Mus musculus: one gene and its partner. The protein of the gene in region 2 interacts with the protein of the main gene of each other region in a biochemical or structural test. Links are inferred from orthologs where the notes say so. Each region holds a gene or a part of one and is shown on either strand. Other genes may lie near its edges.

What was found.
Region 1: the proteins of Ets2 (region 2) and Zmynd11 form a complex in vitro, tested with the Homo sapiens proteins (2 studies listed by BioGRID). The link is inferred for Mus musculus from reciprocal best matches to the Homo sapiens genes ETS2 and ZMYND11.

Annotation. Positions count from the first base shown.
Region 1 is NC_000079.6:9,709,750-9,713,564, forward strand, and holds part of Zmynd11 (zinc finger MYND domain-containing protein 11), read right to left. Parts: intron 3,279-3,815; coding exon of another isoform or gene 3,234-3,278; intron 559-3,233; coding exon 397-558; intron 1-396. UniProt on the Homo sapiens protein: Chromatin reader that specifically recognizes and binds histone H3.3 trimethylated at 'Lys-36' (H3.3K36me3) and regulates RNA polymerase II elongation. Does not bind other histone H3 subtypes (H3.1 or H3.2).
Region 2 is NC_000082.6:95,701,177-95,705,497, reverse strand, and holds the start of Ets2 (protein C-ets-2), read right to left. Parts: upstream 3,092-4,321; 5' UTR 2,854-3,091; intron 1-2,853. UniProt on the Homo sapiens protein: Transcription factor activating transcription. Binds specifically the DNA GGAA/T core motif (Ets-binding site or EBS) in gene promoters and stimulates transcription.

The DNA of each region.
Region 1 (3,815 bases), on a different chromosome or scaffold from region 2:
CCAACACTGGGCCTTTTGCTGAGAAGTGCTCGGTAGCATCAACTCTGCCAGGCATTATAGAACCACTATTGAACAGACCTCCATGTGGCAAACAGTTCATGTTCTGAAAGGCTAGCCTTTAAAGCAGTCACATGATCTAGAAATAGGTGTAAAATATGTGAAGAGAAGCTATCTCTATGTGATTAAAATTCTCTAAAATGTGCATCCTGAAACATGGGGTGTGTCTGCGATGCCCGTTTATGAGTGTTGTGTTCATTTGTCAGTCATTTCACCAAGTAACCCCCACCCTCCAGGATTCATCATTCACCTGGCAATACCATCTGGGGCACCTCGGTGACACTAACATTCATTGATTCCAACCCTCTGACCAGCACAGGAAAGCTCATAGGTACTCACCCTGCAAACTGGGCACTGCCAGTGACTACTGCTGTCTCTAAGCCTGAACTCATCAGACAAACACTTGGAATGATACACACGAAAACACAGGTCACATATCAACACCTCTCCAGGCAAATGGCATTCAAAACAATACCAGTCATGAGTTTCTGTTTCCCAGTCCTACAAAAAATACAAAATAATTTTGTATGACATTTTGTCAATATCTTCAATAACTAAGAACAAAATTGAAACTAAAGTCCATCACAAGTTAGGCATTATAAACATTTTTTAAGACATTTAATGTGTTAAAACAAGAGAGAAAATACCTAGAAATTTACTTTAAAATTTGATTCTCTCCTATGTTGTATCAATACTCAGAAATACCTTATGGTGATCTGATAGCAAACAACTCCAAAGTGAATTATGTCCAGAGCCAATCCCAGGTCTAACATTATCTTTATTTGAAACTAGGATCTAAGGAATAATGTCTATTATAAGCTGAGTGCCTCACATCAACCAGGGGCTTTATATTTCCAACAAACAAACCTGTGTTTTGTCCTTCTTTTTACAGATTACAAAATGAATGTTGACACGCTGTGGGGACAGGTGCAGCCACGAGTGGTGACACTCACTATGCTTGTATCTCAGCCACTGTATTCGATACTTAACTGAAAATAACAACTAATCAAAATGCCCATGTCCTGACAGGTCACCATGTTCAGGATCTGTTAAATTTAGAAAAATAAACTGAAAATGTAAAACTAAAGGTTTAGTCACACCATCTAAAAGAGATTGATTACCATATAAGACAAGAGGAAGAAGGCTCGATTCTTGGTGTGTCTAGTCCTAGCACTCCTTAACAGGTCTGAGCTGTGAGGTAGGCAACAGAAGGACTGTTGGATTTGCTCTTAGCTGAGAATTCATTCTTTATAAATGTTGCTCCTCCCTTTTCCTAAAATCACACGTCAGAGTAAAGGTTAATCTTGTCCTTTTTTGTCAGTGTAAAATGAAACCCAAATGAACAAAGGGGAAAACAGAGGCTAACACCACCAAGGCTATTTCTGCTGGGAATCCTGACATTCCACAGTTGGGTTCAGCTACCAATTATTTGTATATATATCTGTATTCTTTCCAAGGATGAGTGGCTTCCTCATTTTCTCAGATAATAATATTATCCCAGCAAATGTGGTTCAAACTAGCAATCAATACACATTGACTACTTGGGCCACATGTGAATGCCACCAGTCACTCACAAAGAGCATAGAGTCAGTTATGTTAAAAACATATGCCTTCTAACCCACACCCAGAGTCATGACCAGAGCAGAATAGTCTATTCTCTAGGAATATAAACTTTCCGTACTTATATTTTATTAAGAAATTGATGGTCTTCACTGACCAGAACAATAAAGAAAAAGAGAAACACTTTTTGGTTCCTCACTGAGGCTGTATCAAACTCTAATCTTAGAAAAACTCAGAAAAAAAAAAATCTACACTACCATGTCTGATTCTGGGACACCACAAAAAACATGTATATAGTACTTAGCTCAAAGAAAATTAGTCACTGGTGTACGTATTTCAGATAGACGTCTCATATACACATTGTGTGTGTACCTAACTCATTTTCATGTTTAAAAACTGTAATATAATAAAAATAGGTTTCAAGATTCTATTTTTTAATTAAAGAATTTATTCAAAGCTTAAAACAAAGTATTTAATTCTTATAGTTGTTTGAAAATATCTTAAAGAGATTAATGGTTATATTGACTTAATAATAAAAACTATCAACCTTCATAATTTAATGTTTTTACTTGAATTCACCTTCCTATGATGGGTCCAATGGTAGATCCCACGATGTTAAAAAGGAGGAAGAGCACAGTTCCGGCTTTTCTACTTCACTCCCCACCATAGTCTTTTCACCCCATGCCATGCTTTTTACCTACTTCTTAAACAGACACTGAAATGGGTCAGTCAATGTTGGGTTGCCTAACTCTACACTTTTAACTCTATACTTTTAAAAATAATTGCAGGGATACAATCATTTGTTAAATGAAGCAAAGTGCAGAAACTTTTAAATTTAATTAATTTTATTTTTTATTTTTTTCTTGGTTTTCTTGTTTTTAAAGACAGGGTCTCACTAACAGGACTGGAACTCTCTGTGTAGAATAGGCTGGCCTGGAGTCATAGATTTGACTCTCTAGTGCTAGGATTACAGGCATGTTTCCATGCCTGGCTTGGTTATGCTTTTAAAATGGATACTACTAACTTCATCATATATCCATATGATGACAATGCTTGTTATTTTAATCATGGCGAAGGCTATTTATAATACACAAAACATACAAAAGTCAAGCACAAAAGTAACTGGATTCCAAATCCATTAAAATTTTCTGATGCAAAAATGAGTCATATGGACCACAGGCCAAGCTGCCTCCAGTTTATCTTTAGTAAACAGAAATCATTGAAATCATGAGGCTGCCACCCATCAGTACCATATGTCAATAAGCTGAGGTTACATTTCTATTAGATGCCACCAGATGCCATCAGATGCTCTGGGAACAGCCTATTTAGCAGCCTGTGTAAAATTCCACTTCAGAACAAGAATGTTGTTAAAGAGCAAGTCTAATACAGAGTTCAAAACTGGAAGCAGTATAAGATAGTACTCTCTTCATACATACATCTAGAAAGAACTAACTGAGTTGATCTAAACAAGCAAGAGCTCTATTTAAAAACCAAAACCAAAACCAAAACCAAACCAAAACAAAGCAAAGCAAAACAAAACAAAACAAAAACAAAAACAAAAAACAAAACAAAACAGCAGAATTAAAGTAATATAACATAATGCAAAATTAGTTCACCTTGTTTGGGGCTGCTGTCCTGGAGAAAGGCTGCGTACTGTAGGCCTTTCAAAATACAAACAAGATAATCTTGGTCTCTATCACAATTTTGCTCATATTGGATAATACAGGGCTAAAGGGATTTCACACAATGGTTTATTATTTCAAGAATGATTCATACTATTTGGCAGACAACGTTAACAGAAAATTCTGTTAATGAGTTGATAATTAATGAAAAGATAGTAGCATGCAAACTTAAGAGCTGTCACTAATTGTAGAGGAAGGTTATGGACAGACACAGAGAATCTCTCTGAGAACTCATATAGCATGAAATCTACAGCCACGTTAGGAAAATGTCTTATTAGCAAAGTCCACACCATACACAGCAGTATGGTACCACAAATGCATGTCTGATTGGTCTAAAACTGGACTACACTAGACTTTTTTAAAGATAAGAATAATGAATGTGAGGGTGGTAAACTCAATACCTCACCATTTATTTTCAATGTTTAAAAAAATCACTAAAAATATGTAACCATCAAAACCTCACATGTAAATGATTAACTGAAACTGTTAACAACATTAAACTAAACCTAGAATGGT
Region 2 (4,321 bases):
TGGATATTTACTTTGTGCTTATATAACGCTGTGAATACATTAGGTTGACTGAATATAGTAAAATCGATTTGATCTGTTAAGACTATTTTGAGCATGTTGAAGGAAAACAAAAAAACCAAAAACCAAAATGTGACCTGCAGTGGTCTGAAAAAATTTTCTGGAGCCCTAATATGACATGCTAAATGAAAGAAGGCCCTTCAACAATATCAGAGAGCGTTAGACAGACCCAGTCACGGAGCCTCATTTCCACACACCAGAGATCACCATCACTGGACGGCAGCTCTCCGTCCTCCAGGCTCCAAGCTACAGAACGGGAGCCTTCGATAGCTCCATTGTGTAGAGTGTCCAACCCCCAGCCACCACCACCACCCCCTTGCTCTCCTTCATGGGCACCCACCTGCTAACCACACACAGTCACTAAAATTAGCAGGCAACTGATAGAACTCACTAGAGGCAGCAGATAGCATAGTCTCAAAGAATTATTTAACTTGCTTTGATCCCTCTGTCTTGTGTTCTTTTTATAGTCAACATTGTGGGCCAATGACAGATGGCTTAACAATTTCCTAGTGAATGCATACTCGCATGCACACACCGACATGTGTGAGTGTACACGTGCACACACTCACACCTTGATAAAAGGCCACAGAGCAGAAAGAGGCCTTAAGGGAAGGCTGCTGGGAGCCCAGACATGCAGATCAGGGTTAAAGCAGCCCAGAAAAGCTGAGGGGCCTTGAAGGAGCCACCATCCTGGTGATGTCACAGCAGGGACTGTGCAGTCTCCAGAGCGGGGACATTTCTTCAGGTTCTCCCTTGGTATATTATCCCAGCTATACCTACTGTGGGTTCAATATTCCTCACAGACGAAGACCACCAGGACAGCATGCCTAGCTCCCAATGTGAAGACTCAAGTCCCACTTCCTCACAATCCTCCTGAGAGTCCAGGTTCCAAATGTAAAATCACTTTATTCTGAGGCAACTGAGGACCGGTGACAACTGAGTCACCGGCCTAGACTACACACTCCTTTGGGGGTGTCTGTGGAGATTACGCCTCAGATCAGTAGGGCCTTAAATCCTGACCATGCCTGAGTGGGCTCTCCCTACCCCACCCCACTGAAGCAGAGAGCACACAAATATGAGCAAACCAGGCCTTTCTGTCACACTTCAGTCCTGTGAAACACTCGCCAACTGAGAACTTCATGTCGCCTACTTGGATGGAGTCAGCCCTGTAGCCTGTAACCTGTTGACTAAACACAAGCCTCCCGCAGAAAACCAGCAGCAGAGGCAGAGGTGTCCACGTGGTTCCTCCAGGGCCTGTCGGACAGTGCTTTCTGTTGCCCCAGTGTACAGACACTCGAGGACTTCTCTGTGATTTTTCGCTTCTGAGATGGGCAGAGAATAGCTTCAGAGGTTGGGGAAGAGCTCCCCTGCCTTTTGTGTACAAACAGGAGCAGAAAAGGGAGGCTCCCACTCCCACATAAATGCTGTAATTACCGGCTGCAGAACAGGGTTCCTTTGTTGCCTGGCTTTTAATGAGTTTTGTAAAAAAAAAAAAAAAAAAAAAAGAATGTAGAATTAAAGCCCTCCACTAAATGGCTTCAGGCAGACCCACGGCTAATCAAATTTAAGTTCATTTATCCGACTGGATGTGCTTGCTAACCCCTGGGACAAGTCAAGACTCTAGATAAATCAATTTCAAGTTTAGACTTTTTGGTACTGGTGATGGGCTAAAAAAAAAAAAAAAAATAGTAACAAGAAATGGGAGAAAATGGCAGAAATGTAGTAACTGGGAATAGTTAGGTTTTTAAACAAGAATTTCATGGATAACTGTATCCTTAGTGGAACAGGTAATCACTTATATAAGAGAGCATGAGTTTGTATTTAGATAAATTTAGGTTAAAAAAATAAAATAAAAGGACAAAACCCTTTGAAGGTTGGTTTGCCTTTTGCTTAGCAATCAGTTTAGAGAAATGAATGACTAATTCCATATATGAGAGTTTGGCTATTTCCCTGTGGGATGCACGGTGTTCACATTAACTGCACTGCGAGATTACTCAGATTTTAATAAAAGCTTAACACTGAGATGTATCTCCGGATTGGCGGTGGTGTAGGCAGGCAGATACCGACAGGAGCTTCCACAGCGGGAGCAAGTCTCTCAACTGGCGAATTAAATGACTCCTCTCTCCAACCAGGACTGCTCACCGCTTTACTTTCTAAATAAGTAGCGAGTCAACTACTATTTTAGGCTCCCCTGAAATTGAGTGCAGGCTAGTACAAGTCTTATGAGATTAAATAGTAAATTAGAAAAAAAAAAAAGTCAAATACGCAAACGCTTCAGGTTACCCCTTCATTCATATGCTTTAAGGAGAAAATAAAAGCAGAGCAGCCACCAGCACCCCTACTTGGACCGTATCCCGTACTGGCTTCCCAGGGCCCAGGGGAGCCCAGACCTGGCCAAGCAGGTGACACGTTCCCGGGAGCCGCAACTTCCCAGGTGTTCCATGATCCGGACACCCCCACATCCTTCCAGGCCTAGCGCCTCCCCAACTCAAGTCACCCCGAACCTGGGGCTACCTCGGCCACCTCTCCAGGTGCCTCAAGCCCTCTCGAGAAACGCAGTCGCGCACCCCGGGCAGGAACCGCACGGGGCGACCACTGGCTTCCCCAAAACAAAAGCGGTCTGCCCGCGCCCTGCCCGATGCCTGGGTCCCCCTCCGAGGCCACTGGGTGCCTAGGAACCAGCCGGAGCGGCTCTGGGGCGCGCGATGGCCCGGCGGGATCAGGGGCCGCCCGCACTACACCCCACCCCGGGCGGAGTCTCTGCTGAGGACCATCGCGCACAGGGGCCGCTCTTACCGCGCCGCAGCAGGCAGGGCCAGCCGGAGGGCGGCGGGGAGAGGAGATCGCGGCGGTCCCGGCGCGCAAGGCCGGGCGAGACGAGGCCGTAGGGCCGATCCGGGCGCGCGGGGCCGGGGAAGGTGGCGGGGACTGACGGGCCTCAGTGGTGTCCACTCTGTGCTCAACGCCGCGGTGAAGGAAGTAACCAGCCCGATCTCCTAGCCGCGCGCTCTTCTGGAGCTGGGGGAGGGCCGGAGGGAACCGGGGGAGGGGACAGCAGGGGTGACGGAGAGAGCGCGGAGGAGGAGCGAGCGCGAGGCCGGCGTGGGAGGAGAGCGCGCTCTGGCAGCGGCGGATCCACGCTGCTCCCGGGCCCTTCTCTGCGACCCTGCAGCTCGCTGTCGCCTGCCTGCTGGCCCCTGCTCCTGGAGCCCGGTTCGGGCGTTATGCCCAGGAGGTCCAGCTAGAAAGGCAGGGCCGTATCCGCCCGCGTTAGGCTGTCTGCAGGTCCGAGCTGGGGGCCCTGTTGGCACTTGGGTTGGGTGGTTAGGCTTCTGCGGTGGAGCCTGCCCTGTGCTTGGAGCTACGTGTGGGTCCTGATTTCTGGTCCTTCGTCGTGAAAGACTCATACGTGGGGTTAGGGAGTCGCAAAGTGGGCGGGTGGCGGAGTCGCGAGTGGAAGAGCAGAACGTGGCGCAGCCGCTTGCCTCTGGAGAGGCCCCTCCTACTGCCTCGGTGCGGATGGCGCCCCCTAGGGCTGAGCCGAGTCTCAGCGCCGACTTGGCCGAGCACTTAGGCGCCATCTATTATTAGTCTTAGTAAATCCTTCAAGGCTACTACTGTGTTCTACTTAACATGGTCTACGAGGTCAACTACATGTCAAGTCCAGCGTGACTCTCCCAAACTCATGGTCAAAACACAAGCCAAAGAGTGGTTTCCTTTTTGGTCAGAAGGCGTTGAGTCCATGGTTGGAAACCTGTGGGATTCATCCGTAGGCACAGGTGTACGTTGAATATTATTTCGTTCCTTCTCAAGTTTAGGTTGTTACCAGAGATGGCATATGAAATTGCAAATGGCAAGCTCAGGCAAGGCCACGGGACTGACGATTGGTACATTACAAGGACAGCCTTGCCGGGAAGGGAGTGGAAGACCCCAGCTTCTCTGGTACCGCAGGGTTCCTGGTTTCCATGGCAACTCCCCATCTGAAATTATTGCCAATCAAGATACTATTACACCTGATACTTCTCTCCAGTGTATCACCTTTGCAGGAGTCAAGGCCTAATCCACTAAGCTAAAACAGCTAGGTCCAGAGGGAATTGATATTTCCTCATGGCTTCTCAGTGTGTATTCAGGTCCAGACCAGAGAACCCAGGTCAAGGAGGAACTCCATAAATAGAAGAAAGAGTCCCTGTCCCGTTACCATGGAGACACGGAACAGCATATGCTAACTTAAAAAAAAAAAAAACATAGCAGAAGGTACTGACTT